Linked DNA regions of Stegostoma tigrinum. The protein of the gene in region 2 purifies or fractionates together with the protein of the main gene of each other region. This does not show direct contact. Links are inferred from orthologs where the notes say so. Each region holds a gene or a part of one and is shown on either strand. Other genes may lie near its edges.

Region 1 (8,511 bases), on a different chromosome or scaffold from region 2:
GTATCCTTTATTCGCATAGGGAAGTGCCACTCGAACTCTTACCTAACGCAGTTTGAAATAGTCCCACATGTCCAATGTAGATTTACTCTCAAATAGCTGCCTCATTGTCACAGTTCGCCTTACCCCAAATAAACACCTTCACCCAAGGACTGCTGTTATCCCTATCCATGATTATCTTCAAACTCACTGTGCAATGGTCACCACTACTGATATGCTCCCCCATTGAAACTTCACTCACCTGATGCGGCTCAGGTCCCAAAACCTGGTCCAGTATAACCCCTTGCCTGGTTGAACTGCTTACGTATTGTGCCACGAATTCTCCCGAACGGTCCTTACAAAATTCTTCCCCATCCAAGTCCCTAGCACATGGGGAGTCCTAGTCAATACAGGGGAAGTTAAAAAGAAAACAAAAAAGTCACCCACCACAACAACCTTGCTGTTTTTACATCTTTCCAAAATCTGTCCACATTCTCTTCTCTATCTCCCACTGGCTGGTCAGTGACCTGTAGTATATCCCCAGCACTGCTATTTCACCTTTCCTATTCCTGGGTTCTCCCCACATTGCCTTGCTGCACAACTCCTCTGATGCATCTTCTCCCAGTACAACAGATACTCCTTTGCCAGGAATACTTCCCCACCATTTACCTCCATCACTTACGAAACATGGGAACATTCAGCTATCTCTTTTTCAGCCCAATCTCTAAATTGCAATAATGTAATTGTTCCAAGTACTAACCAAGAGGAGGGGAAGCAGGTGGAATTTAAGGGAATGTTAGAGAGACAGAGTAATAAACTCAAATGTCACAACAATAGGCAAAGGGAGAGTTCACGTTGTAGAGACAGCTAGGTGCAGATTAGATGTTTAACAGTAGCTGTTAAGAGCATAATTAAGAGGTCAGCACTGCGGCATGCAAAACCTAAAAACAATGGAGAGAGGGCAGGAAACAAAATGGAGGAGAGAGTTCACGGTCTGAAATTATTCAATGCAACATCAAATCTAAAAGGCCTAAGTCGAATAATACAAAGGCCTTCAGATGCTGGAGGTCTAAAACAAACAAATAGCTGGAGAAACTCAGCATCTGAAAATGGTGTTAACGTTGAGTCCAGTGACTTCTTTAGGCCTAAATGGAAAATGCTCCAGCTTGCAATGGGTTTCACTCAGACACTACAGTTGACCTAGGGCAAAAGAAATTCTAAGAGCTAAATGGTGTACTTGTGTCAAGTGACAGAAGGTTGGTGTCATGCTTGCAAACCGAGGTGCGTTCTGCAAAGTGGTGTCCCCAGCGAAGTGGAGGCTACATTATAAGCATTGAAGCCAGTAGACTAGATTGAAAAAAGAAAGCACAAGTAGATTTACATCTCCTGAAAGAAATATTAAGGGCTTTGGACAGTAGGAGAGTGGTGATAAAACAATGTATTGCATTTCCTGCCATTTATAAAAAAGTGCTTCGGGAGGGAGATGAAGAGTTGGGGCAATAAAGGGATGCCAGAATGTCAAAGGTAACGGTCCCTTCAAAATAGTGAGAGCAAATGTAGCCGAGGTAGCTGTGGGAGTTGGTGGATTTGTAACTAATATTAGTAGACAGTCTATCCCTGCAAGAGGGGGCAAAGACAGAAAAATTAAGGATTAAAGGAAAGAGTCAGAGATGGGCCAGGTGAACTTGAAAGACTAGAAATTGAAAGCAAAATGGATTAACTTTTCCAGTTCTGGGTGACAGCAGGCACTGATACAGTCAAAGTACTAGAGAAAGAGTTACGTGAGGATACCCCCAGACTGGGAAAAAAACAAAACCCATAAAAACACAAAGTATCACTTGAGCGCACATGGATAAGTGGCCACGTGGTATTTGAAACTCTCATGGCCAATACAAAAGATGGAGCTCTGAACTGGGGGGGGGGGGGGGGGGGGGGGGGGGGGGGGGGGCAGCAGTGAGCCTATTTAAAACTCAGGTAGATTACCAGAAACTTACAGCACATCAGAAATGAAAATTTAAGACAAAAAAGTGACATACCCGAAAAGTGAAGACTAAGCAGGGCATATCATGACTTGATAAAAAGTACACATAATAGAAATTGCAAAGTATACTGGTCAGAGAGAAGGTAAACATGAATCTCACTTCAAAACTCTATCAGCATTCACATCAAAGGATAAGAACTCAAAAAGCTGACACTAATTTAGTGTTAAACTGCATCTGGAGTTCCCTATGTCCAGTTGGGGAACAATTCTCTGGAACTACAGAAACAGAAACTGGATCAATTCCAAGAAGAATGGGTAAAGCAGGAAGTTGAAAAGCTGGAAGAAAGGCACAAGAGTGGCTGCACGAAAAACTTGCACTGCAGAACAATAAAGCAGAACTTGAAGTATTTAAAGAGCAACTGCAGTGTGCTGTTTAGCTCAGAGACAACATTTTACAGCCAAAAAATACTTGTGCTTAAAGGAAGAGAACAAGTTAATAAACTGTAAAGTGTTCATTTTTAAAATATGATTAACATTGATCTTTAGGAAAACAGATAACTGGAACTGTTACACTAATATAAAGGCAGACCATTTTTCTTTTAATTAATAGGACATTGTTTCTGTTGGAGAAAGTAATAGGAACTAATTGCTGAATGTGCAAGGGGACCTCACTGTTCTAACTTTGTTAAAAATTCATCGGAGGGATGAGGGCGTTGCTGGCTAGGCAGCATTTATTGTCCATCCCTAATTGCCCAGAAGGCAGTTAAGAGTCAACCACATTGCTGTAGGTCTGGAATCACATGTAGGCCAGACCAGCTAAGGGCGGCAGTTTCCTTCCCTAAAGGAAATCAGTGGACCAGATGGGGTTTTTCCAGCAAATCGACAATGGATCCACAGTCATCATTAGACTCAATTCCAGATATTTATTGAATTCAAATTCCACCATCTATGGCAGGATTCAAACCCAGGTCCCCAGAAGGTTATCTGGGTCTCTGAATTAACAGTGTAGCAATAACATCACTAGGCCATCACCTCCCCATAACTTAGTCATGTGACCAATGGACTGCTATTGTGTTAGGTACATGGAGATGCAAGAAATAAAATGGAGTTCCATCAAGTCTATAGTCTAAAGTATCATCATTTTGACCTTGTGGGAATCAAAAGACTGACTCAATGCTACCCAACTCCCTTACCTCACTAAAATAAAATTATAGATGCTGGAAATCTGAAACAAATCAAAACAAATTACTGGAGAAGGTCCACAGGTCTGGCAACATCTGTGCACAAAAAAGTCAACTTTTCAGGCCCAATGACTCATCTTCAGGACTGACTGTCACAGGGAAAATGGGATTACATCACGCTGAAAACAGGGGCTGGGGAATAAACAGCAGGTAGAGATGCACCCAGAACAGAACAGTAGTTGGCAGACAAAGGAATGAGTGGATAGTCACCTGTGTTCTGTCCAAAGAAAACCAAAATGACCCTGAGCTTCAAGGCACAACTGTGTGCTCTGGCTAACATTTCTCCCAGGGGTGCTGCAGTGCTCCAGCTGGAAGAACTGCATTTCATTTTCTGCTTGGGGAACCTGCAGGCTTCAGAACTCAATACAGAGTTCACTAATCATAAGGCCCGAGCACCTTCTTCCATGTCTTTTACATCCCTCACACAACCAGCCCCACCTTGTCATCACTTTGGCTGCTTTCATCACAGCCAATCCATTTTTGGCTTTAGTAGCTATTTCCAATGCTGACCATTATCCATTTGTTTAATTATCCAAAAGCTGTTCTTTCTCTGGGCCTCATCTCCACCTCCTTCCCCTCTCCCATCTCCCACATATATGCCAGCTTTTCCCAGCTACAATTAGTTGTGAACCTGTTTTCTCACCACAAATGGTACCAGACCCAGCTGAATTTGTTCCTTTGTTTGCTGTTTTGCCCTGCTTCATTTATGCTGTTATACTTACCCAAGCCCTGAACCAAATAATAAAGTAGACCCAGAACCTCACTGCTCTATTAGATCAAGATCTGACCTACAATGCACTCCTTTGCCACAATTCTGTCTGAATTAGGTTCTCATACTTTTAAACTTTTTTTCTATTTTCCTTTTCATGACCAAATTGATTCAGCTTCCAATGTTTGAAAAAGAAAATTCAATTTGCTAACTTTGTTGTGACAAAATTGTAACAAGTGTCACAAAACCGTCTTTATGGAACCACGGAAAAGTTGTAGCATAGAAAGCGGCCATTCAGCCCGTCACGTTCACGGCAGTTGAGAGAAAACTATCCCATCTTCCAGCACATTCAAAGAAAAACCGTCCAGATAGTTTGAAGGTTTCTGAAACAAGAACCCGAAGTAGTTAAATTCAGCACCTCTAACATTATCTGCTGAGAGAGAAGCAGCGCTACTGTTCAGTGAACCTTCTTCAGAAATAGACAGCAACGTTCTTCGAAACTAATTCTGATGAAGGCTCACCAGGCTAGAAGCGATAACTGTTTTCCTCTTACTCCTCAGATGCTGCCAGAGCCACTAACTTTCTCCAGCTTTTGCTTTTTGGGGGGGCATTACATTATCGGAGGTTTCGGCCTCGACCACCAGAATGGGTGGAACATTCTAGACCATGCCTCCACCTACCGTGAAACATTTCTCCCCACATACCGCCCTAATCCTTTTACTTTAGATCAATTAACCCCGATTAATGAATGAATAAATTCAAACCAGTAACGACCTGAATTATTCTCAATCAAACGTGGGCTGAACAGTCTTGGTTTCTGAAGTGACAAAGCCTCTCCGGGTTGCAATGCCTCATAACACACCCCCACTTCCAGAGGTTCACAATACGCATGCGAAAAACTCTGCGCGCGCGCACTTTATGACACGTCCTGCCAATAATAAACATGGCGGCCCCCAAATCGGCTCAGTGAACTGGTCTGGTGGAGTGACGTCACCGGGTCTTCGTGTGGGTTTGGGAACAAGAAATGCAAATTTTACACATGCGCGCCGGAGAGTTTCGGGGTGTTAACTCGACATTCTCTGCCCTAGCGTGATAATTCATTATTCTTTCGATGTCTACTCTCAGCCTTGCAGGGAAAGGGGACGCCGCTGCGTCATATCCGTGCGCGGGTCGGTGTGTTGGAGACGTAGATTTCCAGCGCCGTAGGCCGGGAGGGGGTAGGTGGAGATGACTTTTTTCCCCCCGCGACGCAGTCGCTGCGTTTCTAGTTAGTTCCTCAGCTGGGTAGGGAGAGACACACACACACAGAGACACAGACGCTGGGCGGGAAGTGCCTGAGATCGAGTTAGGTCCTCTTGCCCCATAGGAGCTGCCGCAGAGGCAGAGTGCCTACCAACTCTCGCACCCATCACCGGCGGAGGCAGAAAAGAACCGGCAGGCCAGTGTGAGAGGGAGTGCCCTCCGTCCATCACCATGACATCCCGAAGGTGGGTGAGCGGGTGTATGAGGGAAGAATGGGTGTATTGGTGAGGGGAGGCGGGTGGGAATACTGCGGGTATTGGGCGGAGACTGTGGCTATGCCACAACAGGGGGAATCTGTGAAATATGGAACTCGCTGGGGAGTGCTGACATTCAATGATAACCTGGCCTGAACTTAAGGAAGCCTGAGGGAGCAGAGGGGAAGTTTCACAAATGGGCTGTAGCCAGTCACTGAACAAAAATACGGCGCTTGGAGTATACAGCTAGGCTCAAACATTGCTGTCAATCCCTCACTGACCTCTGCGACAGCTACCTGTACTTAAAAGTCGTTGGTCAAAGACTGGTGTGCTGTGTTGACGATTGTATTGATTTTGCATATTCACCAATCGCGGATGAATGTGCAAACATAACAGTAAAACTAAGGATAGGTGACTATATCCCAACAAGTAGAACACTCGTAATGCTGATTTGGAAGCTTTTCGTCTGTACGATGCCTTAAGGTGTATATATGCACTTGCCCACAAGGGCAGAAAAGAGCCCAGTGTTGTGTTGATAACAGGAGATGCGAATGGGAGGGATCAGAGCTTGTGTGAAAATACTGTTTTTTTTTTGTTTAATTCCAAAGATATTCACTAAGGATTGTGGAATAAGGTACTGAGCAGCCTCTCTCAAAGCTATTTTGTAAGGCAAGATTCATCACGTTGAGGGATTTGGATTTATGAAACAAATTTAATTTGGTCAGATTATTCTAAAACTGTGCCTGATGCAAAGAAATTAAAATTAAATATTAAAAATTTAAATTAAATATTAAAACTAATATGCAAACTTCAGGGCTAAGGTAAGAAAAGGCAATGATTTTTAAATGTGAAATCTAAAAATGTGAAATTGAAGTTAAATTATTTTTCCTAATTACTCTGAACTCTGTCAAGGAGGGACAGTTCATTTTATCTGTTTTTTTTCTGAAAACTGAAATGCTGCCTTTTTTATAGAGCACTGATTGGATCATTATGTGAAGGTGTTTGGCAAAGGACCTTCATGGATTGCAATGAAGAGGAACAAGAATAGTTCTAGTTTAAACATTAAAGTGCGAATTAAATATCTAAAGTCATTGTCAGAGGAAAAAGAGATCTGAGATGAGGTATGGTCAAGGCCTTAGTGATAGCTAGACATAACTGGTAAAATGGAGTATATGCTTTAATCTAGGACCAGAAGGCAAAACTACAAAATTATCAAGATGTTAGTGATCCCCACAGCTTTCATAAGCTTTCTTGCAACCCGTGTCTCATTTGGTCAAAAGACGTGTTGTTGCCTCCAACTGAAAGCCATTTGTTCCACGTCATCTGAATTTCTTGAAACCCTGCCTAGATGAAGATTTAAATAGGCAGAATTATCTTGGATTAACTAAAGTTGACGATAATTGTGCTGTCTACAAAAAATAACTTTAGGCCATGGGGTGTTACTTTCAGAGTGTAGCCTTCTGAGTAAAATTGTATTCCCTTCAACTGTTGGATCTTGCTTCCTTGTTTAGGGTGTCAGGGTAAAATGTCAGTACTTTTACTTCTTGGAAATACTGACTGTGGTTGCATTGAACTGCCACAGGAACTTCAGTTATGTCAAGGTTTAATAGTACAATTCATGTGGAAGTGTGGGGTTGATTCAGCCTTTTTCAATTGCACATTTTTCCAAACATGGTACATAGCAGACCCACCCACATTTACTGATATGGAGCATTGCTAGACAGAGAAAAGGATCAGAATGAAAGGAAATGACACTGCATGTTGTATGCAGAAAAACATGAGTGAACGAGGGTCACATTCACATGTTACTGCAAAAGGACCGGCACATAGCAGATTGGCCAAAGAGGGTGAGAACATCTAACAGGTAATGCTTTTGTGATGGTACAGAGATAATGACAGCACTGAGCAGGAAGAGTTGCTATACAACTGTGTAGAAACAACAACTACTGATGTTTGTAAAGTGCTTTTGAATGTAGTAAAATGTCCCATGCTGTTCACATAAATTTGACACCATGCAGTATAAGAGATATTGGGGTAGGTGACCAAAATCTTTGTCAAAGAGATCATAAGGAAGCCGAAATATAGTGAAATGGGGTCTTTGGCTACTGAAATTTTGATCATCAGTGGTGGCTTGATTTAAAATCAGGAATGCTCAAGAAACTGGAATCTGAAGATTACAATTAGTCAGAAGGTTGTAGTGCTGGGGAAGATTACAGATCTTCTAATTTATGAATCAGAGGCAAGACCATGAAGGGATTTGAAAATAATTAAAATTTTACAGGGGCCAATGTGTTTCAGTTAGTGGGAAGGTGATGATTGAACTGGATTTGGTGCAAGTTAGGACATCAGCCATCGAGTTTAGGATTCCTTGAGTTTACAGAATGTAAGAAGCCAGCTAATGATCTGTTGAAATACCTTTTATAGTAATAAAGGTATCATTGAGAGATTCTGCAGCAGATGAACTGAGGCAGCAGCAGAACTAGGTGATGTCTTGGAATGCAAATGAGTGATATTAGTGATGTGGTTGTATGGTCGGAAGCACATCTTGGAGTCAAATGTAACACCATGGTTGCAAACATTTTGGTTTACAAGTACTATGCGCAGTTTTGGCCTTACTTGAGGAGGGATCGAGTTGCATTGGAGACAGTTCCGAGGAGGTTCACTCGATTGATCCTAGAGATGAGGGGTTTGTCACATGAAAGAGAGATTGACCGGGTTAGACCTGTGCTTTCTGGATTTTTAGAGAGTGAGAGGAAACCTTATTAAGGTATAATAGATGCTAAAGGGGATTGCCAAAGTGGATGTAGAGGATCTTTTCTCTCGTGGGCAATTTATAATGAGAAGTCACAGTTTTAGGATAAGGAGTGACAAACTTAAAACAGACGACAAATTACTTTTGAGTTGTGAATCGATGTATTGTGCATGCTGGGACATTGAGTAAATTTGAGGAGCTAACAGGTTTTTAATTGATTATTTGTTGAAGGGATTTGGAGAGCAGACAAGGAAGTGGACTTAACTAAAATGAGATCAGCTGTGATGATATTAAATGGTGGAGCAGGCTCGAAGGGCTGAATTGCCTATTCCTATTCCTAGTTCTGGTTGCCAGGG
Region 2 (8,592 bases):
ATCACCTACTGCTACCTTCCTTGTGTGCACAAAAGTTTTCTTAACATCCATTTGGTTTCTTTTTCTCTGTCACAATCATTGAAGAATTCTTTGTCTCTTGTACGAGGCCTCTGGACCACCCCCTAGATCTTCCACCACCTTTGTCATAGGAATTGAAAAATCATTTGCCAATACTTTTTAGTTCCAAAGAAGAGTCATGTTGCACTTCAAGCGTCAACTCTGTTTCCCTCTCTACAGGTGCTGCAAAACCTGAGTTTCTCCAGAATTTTCTGTTTGTGTTTTGGTAGTTGTTTCATTTTGATGGTCCACATTTATCACTCATCGTTATTGCTTCATTTGGTAGTTTGTGATGTCAGTCTGTCATTGTTCACTGCAGGTGTGCCGTTGGATCTGTGCCCACAAAATGGAAATGTTGATTTATTTAGAATTATTTCATTTAGTGATATCTGTTTGCTGTTTTAACCAACTGAATACATTCAGAATACATTTTCTGAAGAAGGGTCCCCACCCGAAACGTCAGCTTTCCTGCTCCTGTGATGCTGCTTGGCCTGCTGTGTTCATCCAGCTTCACACCTTGTTATCTCAGATTCTCCAGCATCAGCAGTTCCTACTATCTCTGAATACATTCTCCATCCATTTGTGAAAAGTAAACATATTTTAATTCCCCCCCTTTATCCTCTTTACTCACTTTTAAGTTGTTTTCTTTCATGCCAGATAGCTTTTTCCCAACCCCTCAATTTCCCAAATCCTCATTAAATTGTATTTTTTAAAAAAACCTCTTTCCTAGTCTGTTCATCTCTACAAAATCCCTACAGAGAGATTAACAACGGAGTGATTGTACATTCAGGGATGTACAACAATTTCTCTTCTCAAACAGTTAACATTGCAAGCTAATGCTGCGTACCACAGGGCATGAGCTTTACCCTTTCTAAAGTCAATACAAGTGGTGGTCCACAGTGTACACAGATATGTGTCGAATATGTTTATGGTTGATGCGCATTAGAATGTAATTTTTAGTTCAGATGTAAAATAATTGAAAAATCCTGATATTTTGTAATAATACTGAAATAAATGCAATTTAAACAAGCTTGGAGTTCAACGCTTAAAATGGAGTCACGTTAATTCAGTGATTAACAGCTAGCAAGATAAAATCATAAAACAGGTGCACTCACTGATGAAAATAATTTGAGGCATAACATTTGCAGTTATTACAGTAAACATAAGTTATCTATGTGGTTTCCTCAGAAAAATCTTGAAAGTGAAAAGTAAGTAACTTGCATTTTTACCTGGGTATGATGTGTGTTTCGTTATGCCATGGAGATGGGTCGAGTTTAGTGAAGTCCTTGGTCTTTGAATTTGTCTCTGTGAATTCAGTTTGTCCGTAAGGCTGACTGAGAGAAGCAGCTAACAGACAGTGTCAGGTGTGGAATCCAAAGTCATTAGATCTATTAAGATTAAGTTAGAGAGTTGCTTCACTAATGCTCAATGGAAGGGCCTCCATAAAACCTTGTACCTTGTTGACTAGCCCGAACTTCAGAGAAATTGAAATAAATTCAGGAGATGGAATGATGTACATTTTGAGTTGATCCCAAGAAAATTGAATGAACCTTAAAGATTTTGTGAGGCAACGGAGGGAGGCAAATGGGCAAGAGTAGTGCATTCCGAAGAGATAACATAGTTAGATATCAGTCTGCCTTTTCAGATAGCTATCTGTTGGATGCAGAAGTCACACATTTCCCATAACTAACTCAGAGATAGTAAGAACTGCAGAGACTGGAGTCAGAGGTAAAAGTGCGGAGCTGGAGGATCACAGCAAGCCATGCAGCATCCGAGGATTAGAAAAGATTTGTGTCGAGTAGAAAAGACTTTTGTCCTCTGCTTCTCTGATGCTGCTCTGATGTTCGTCCAGTTCCACACTGTGTTATTCTCTTTCCCATAACTGAGTTGATGTTTTATGAATGCCAGTTCAGCATGTTATATTTGCATTTTTAGCTGAGGGGCAACAAAACACTTCTGCTGTCCGGCACCATGCATTTGCTTTGTCTAATCAGCATCTCAGGAGCACAAAAGCTGACGTTTCGGGCCTAGACCCTTCATCAGAGAGGGGGATGGGGAGAGGGAACTGGAATAAATAGGGAGAGAGGGGGAGGCGGACCGAAGATGGAGAGAAAAGAAGATAGGTACAGTGGAGCGTATACGTGAGGAGGTAGGGAGGGGATAGGTCAGTCCAGGGGAGACGAACAGGTCAAGGAGGTGGGATGAGGTGGTAGGTAGGAAATGGAGGTGCGGCTTGAGGTGGGAGGATGGGATGGGTGAGAGGAAAACAGGTTAGGGAAGTGGAGACAGGCTGGGCTGGTTTTGGGATGCAGTGGGGGAGGGGGAGATTTTGAAGCTTGTGAAGTCCACATTGATACCATTGGGCTGCAGGGTTCCCAAGTGGAATATGAGTTGCTGTTCTTGCAACCTTCGGGTGGCATCATTATGGCACTGCAGGAGGCCCATAATGGACATGTCGTCTAAAGAAAGGGAGGGGGAGTTAAAATGGTTCACGACTGGGAGGTGCAGTTGTTTGTTGTGAACCGAGTGGAGGTGTTCTGCAAAGCGGTCCCCAAGCCTCTGCTTGGTTTCCCCAATGTAGAGGAAGCCACACCGGTTGCAATGGATACAATATACCACTGGCAGATGTGCAGGTGAACATTTGCTTGATATGGAAGGTCATCTTGGGGCCTGGGATCGGGGTGAGGGAGGAGTTGTGGGGGCAAGTGTAGCACTTCCTGCGGTTACAGGGGAAGGTGCCAGGTGTGGTGGGGTTGGAGGGGAGTGTGGAGCGGACAAGGGAGTCGCGGAGAGAGTGGTCTCTCCGGAAGGCAGACGAGGGTGGGGATGGAAAAATAGCTTGGGTGGTGGGGTCGGATTGTAGATGGCAGAAGTGTTGGAGGACACTACACAGGCCCCAAACCCCACCTCTTCCTCCATTACATTGATGACTGTATCAGCGGCGCCTCTTGCTCCCCAGAAGAGCTGGAACAGTTCATCCACTTCACCAAAACCTTCCAACCCAACCTCAAGTTCACCTGGGCCATCTCCAACACATCCCTCACCTTCCTGGACCCTTCAGTCTCCATCTGAGGCAACCAGCTTGTAACTGATGTCCATTTCAAGCCCACTGACTCCCACAGTTACCTAGAATGCACCTCCTCCCACCCATCCTCCTGCATAAATTCCATGCCCTATTCCCAATTCCTTCGCCTCCACCGCATCTGCTCCCAGGATGAAGCATTCCACTCCCGCACATCCCAGAAGTCCACGTTCTTCAAGGGCCGCAACTTCACCCTCGCAGTGGTCGAGAACGCCCTTGACCGCATCTCCTGCATTTCCCGCAACATATCCCTCGCACCCCGCCCCCGCCACAACCGCTCCCAGAGACTCCCCTCGTTCTCACATAGCACCCCACCAACCTCCGGATACAACGCATCATCCTCCGACACTTGCACCATCTACAATCCGACCCCACCACCCAAGCTATTTTTCCATCCCCACCCTTGTCTGCCTTCCGGAGAGACCACTCTCTCCAACCCCACCACACCCGGCACCTTCCCCTGCAACCACAGGAAGTGCTACACTTGCCCCCCCACACCTACTCCCTCACCCCTATCCCAGACCCCAAGATGACCTTCCATATCAAGCAGATGTTCACCTGCACATCTGCCAATGTGGAATATTGTGTCCATTGTACCTGGTGTGCCTTCCTCTACATTGGGGAAACCAAGCAGAGGCTTGGGGACCGCTTTGCAGAACACCTCCGCTCAGTTCGCACCAAACAACTGCACCTCCCAGTCGCGAACCATTTCAACTTCCCTTCCCATTCCTCAGACAACATGTCCATCATGGGCCTCCTGTAGTGCCACAATGATGCCACCCGAAGGTTGCAGGAACAGCAACTCATATTCCACTTGGGAACCCTGCAGCCCAGTGGTATGAATGTGGACTTCACCAGCTTCAAAATCTCCCCTCCCCTCCCCCCACTGCATCCCAAAACTAGCCCAGCCTGTCTCTGCCTCCCTAACCTGTTCTTCCTCTCACCCATCCCATCCTCCCACCTCAAGCCGCACTTCCATTTCCTACCTACCACCTCATCCCGCCTCCTTGAACTGTCCGTCTCCTCTGGACTGACCTATCCCCTCCCTACCTCCCCACCTATACTCTCCTCTCTACCTATCTTCTTTTCTCTCCATCTTCGATCCGCCTCCCCCTCTCTCCCTATTTATTTCAGAATCGTCACCCCATTCCCCCTTTTCTGATGAAGGGTCTAGACCCGAAACGTCAGCTTTTGTGCTCCTGAGATGCTGCTTGGCCTGCTGTGTTCATCCAGCTCCACACTTTGTTATCTTGGATTCTCCAGCATCTGCAATTCCCGTTATCACTGCTTTGTCTAATCCGCAGGCTCTGGCAGGAAGGAGACCGTTTGTGGAAGCATTGATGGATGAAATTGCGTGGCGCTGTAGAGTGTGGGATCTGTGTTTGCACAAACATGAAACCACAGCGCCCACCTCACTCGCAATTCAAAGTGTCAAACTCCTCCTGAATTTTCATTAAACATATCTTAGTCCCAGTTATTATTTTGAAGTCTGCGCACCCAACGTCTTGGTCCGAAGTGATTTGATATATAGTGGGAGATGTCAGCACCCTCTTTTCTAAGTTTCCCGATTACATTTTAAATTAAGATTCCTGTCATTTCTGATTTTATTTTAGGAAAAAATCAGTCTTTAATATCTGGAAATCATCAACCACTCATTAGAATCAACAAGTAGCATAAAAGCTGAACAAGTCTGAATGTGAACATAAATGTTACGGCCACACTGGGATACCTATCTCTTTCAGTGTGAAATAAAAACAACCTTTTGAGGAAGGCTGCAAACGTTGACAATATGCGAGTTTGCCTATTGTGTTTCCGGGGTTGCCGCCTACTATTGTTCTGCATTTTGCACATTCGGCTGTCGTGGTGATGAACTGATTCATTCGTTGAGATTTGGAAAGCAATCTCTGATGGTGGAACATTTTGCGAAACTATTCTCAGACCGTGAGTGAGAGTAGGATGGCACAAGGAACTGCAGTCTAACCTTGCGCTATCTGGGAACACTGACCTGCTTCCACTAGATAGGGAGATTCATGTCTTAAACTGGACAGAGAGGACTGACCTGTCTATAGTGGGCAGTGATATTTAGCTCACATTTAGTGATATTTACCCGTATTCTAGTGGGCAGGGAAACTGACTGACTAGGAGCACCTTGAAACATGGACTGCAGTCTTCGACGCTGATGCTCTGCAGTTTAGTGAGGAAATTTCAATGCAATGGCGCAAACTCTCGAGAGTTTCATCGACTCGCTCGATCCCTTGACTCTTCCGAGAATACTACAGATCCAGTCTGGGATTTACTTTCAAGGTAAAGATTGGATTTTAGACGGTGCGATTTTCCGGTTAATTTGAGCTTGTAAAACTTTATTTTTATAAACCTTTTTGCCTAATGCATCATTTCTGGCGTTTATTTGACTGAATAAAGCGTGAGACTTTTCGATGCAACAAACCTCACGACGCTGGAACTTTGCAGAGTTTTCAGATATTTTGCAGCACCTTCAGTTATCTCAAAACCACGTGTCGGCTGAATCCTGATACTTTTTTATCGATCTATTTCTCTATCAAATAGTTAGCCAGTGATACCCTCAGTTTGAGTAAAATGTTACAATACTCAACAATATGTAAGCACGTTAGACGGGTTACGCTTTCTGGAAGATGCATTTGACTTTTTGCATCGTTCAAATGCATTGCTTAATGCAAAATTAAGTTTTTCACGTTTTTCAAACTAAAATAAGCTTTCCTCTGAAAGGCGAACATAAGTGCTTAAAATGCAGTGAAGTTTGACTCAGGAGTTTATTTGAGATTTGATTTGCTGAAAAAATAGGAAAGAAGGCTACCATTATCTTTTGTTTGAATATTTATTATTTTAATAAAGTAAATCTAGTAATTTCGGTCAATATTTGGAAGAGGGTGATTGTAAAGTTATTGGAAACCACGTTCACTGGGAGTTTGTATGCAATGCAATCAGTACCGGTTTAAACAACGCCATTGTTGAGCGCTCAGTTAATTCTGGAAATCGTTCTCGGTTTAAAAAAAACAATCCATTTCACGAATATGACATTTCATTTCAGTTAGACGAAATTATATATGAATCCCTGTCCTGAGAGATGTTTCTATACGTATGAAGGATTGCTTCAATGTATAACAAAATTAGTAGTTTATTTCATACCTTCACAGAAGTGTTACAGTTCAGAAAAGTCTCTTTAAACGACTATTATTATCTAATTCCAATCTCCTGCTTTCTCCCCATTGTCTTGCGCACTGTTTCTATACATACATCTAACGTTTTCATGGATGTCTCAATTGAAACTGTGTCTACCACATTTTCAAGCAGCTTTCTTTCCAAGGAGAACTGTCCCAACTTTTTGATCTGTCCCTGTAACTGAAGTTTCTCCTGAAACCTTTCTTGTAAATCATTTCTGCACTCTATCCAAAGTGTTTGCATCTTTCCAATAATATGGTGCTCACAACAGTACACAGTACTTAAGGTGAGGTATGCTTTATTTACTGCTGGTCTTCACTAGTCCTGCTACCTTCAAAGACCTATGCACAAAGAGATCCAAGTGCCTCTGCTCCTGCACCCTCCTTTGGAATATACCACCTATTTTATATTCTTATAGAATCATACAGCAAGGAAATAGACCCTTTGGTCCAACCTTGTTCCCAAACTAATCTAGCCCGACCTGCCTGAGCTTGGTCCATATCCCTCCAAACCTTTCCTATCCATGAACTTATCCAAATGTCCTTTATATGTTCTAACTGTACTTGCATCCATCACTTTCTCTGGCAGTTCATACCACACACACACGACTCTCCTTTTTAAAAGTTTCTCCTCTCACCTTAAAAATATGCTCCCTAGTTTTAAAATCCCCCACCCTGGGGAAAAGACCCTTGCCAGTCTATACCCCACATGATTTTATAAACCTGTATAAGATCACCCCTCAACCTCCTACGCTCCAGTGAAAAAAGCACCAGTCTTTCCAGCCTATTTTTATAACTCAAACCCTCCATTCCTGGCAACGTCCTGGTAAACATTTTCTGAATGGTTTCTAGTTTAATAATATTTTTCCTGTACAGGGGTGACCAGAACCGTGCACAGCACTACAGAAGCATCTTCACAAACGTCTTGCACAACCGCCACATGACGTCCCTTCTGCAATACCCAAAAGGTCTGAGCAATGAAAGCAAGCATGCTAACTGTTTGCTTAACCACCTTAATCTAACTGTGATGCAAATTTCAAAGAATATTGTTTCTGAACCCTTAGGTCTCTCTGCTCTACAATACTACCTAGGGCCCTACCATTAATTGTCAAAATGCTGTTCTTGTTTGTATTACCAAAATGCAATACCTGATATTTACCCAACTCGATCTGCTTTTCCTTATCTCATTGAATCACTTGGTCAAAATCTCTTTATAATCTTCTTCACTGTCCACTACACCGCCAATTTCGGTATCTTCTGCAAACTTACTCACCATGTCTCCTGTATTCTCATCCAAATCACTTATATAACTGACAAACAAAAGTTGTCCCAGCACCGGACCCTGAGGAATACCACTGGTCACAGACCTGCAATCTGAAAAACGGCTCTCCACCACCATCCTCTGTCTCCTACCTTAAAGCCAAATTCATATCCAATTAGGGAACAACGGATGAATAAAGATATTGAAGCTCTAGTCAAGAATAAAAAAGAATTCTATAAGATCACACTGAATCCAATGTGATCCAACTTTACAGATTAGTTTACCATGTGGAACTGTGACAAAAGCTTTACTAAAGTCTGAGTAAACAAAGCCTATCACTGTACTCTCATAAGCCTTTTTGGTGACTTCATTCAAAAATTTGATCAAGTACGATAGTATTTTCCTTGCACAAAGCCATGTTGACTATCTCTAATCAATCCTTGCCTCCCCAAATGCATGTTAATCCTACCTTTCACAATCACCTCCAATAACGTAACCACCACTGATGTCAGACTAGGTCTGTACTTTCCAGGTTTTTCCTTACAGCCTTTCTTAAATAAAGACACAAAGTTAGCCACCCTCTAGTCCTCTGCTCCTTCACCTGTGTTTGTAAATGATATAAATATTTCTGCTAGAGGCCCTGCAATTTCCTCCCTAACTTTCCACAATGTCCTGTGATACACTTGATTAGGTCCTGGAGGTTTATCTACTTTTATGTTTTCTAAGACCTCCGACACTACTACTTCTGTAATGTGAATGATTTTTCAATACATCAATATTTGTTTCCCTGAGTTCTCTAGCTTCCATTTCTTTCTTAACAGTAAAAACTGATGCAAACTATTCATTTAATATCTCTCCCATCTTCTAGTGGTTCAACATAAAGACAACCTCATTGATCTATAATGGATCCTACTCTTTCTCCAGTTGCTCTCTTGCTCTCAAGGATTATCTTTAATCATCTGCCGAGGCTATCTCATAGCTTCTCTTTGCCTTCC

The links.
Region 1: the proteins of themis (region 2) and ptpn11a purify together in Homo sapiens (co-immunoprecipitation; 3 studies listed by BioGRID and IntAct, counting the BioPlex papers as one, with this or other methods). This does not show direct contact. The link is inferred for Stegostoma tigrinum from reciprocal best matches to the Homo sapiens genes THEMIS and PTPN11.

What each region holds. Positions count from the first base shown.
Region 1 is NC_081379.1:13,631,598-13,640,108, forward strand, and holds the start of ptpn11a (tyrosine-protein phosphatase non-receptor type 11), read left to right. Parts: upstream 1-5,079; 5' UTR 5,080-5,380; coding exon 5,381-5,394; intron 5,395-8,511. UniProt on the Homo sapiens protein: Acts downstream of various receptor and cytoplasmic protein tyrosine kinases to participate in the signal transduction from the cell surface to the nucleus. Positively regulates MAPK signal transduction pathway. Dephosphorylates GAB1, ARHGAP35 and EGFR.
Region 2 is NC_081357.1:68,576,746-68,585,337, reverse strand, and holds the start of themis (protein THEMIS), read left to right. Parts: upstream 1-5,012; 5' UTR 5,013-5,352; coding exon 5,353-5,443; intron 5,444-8,592.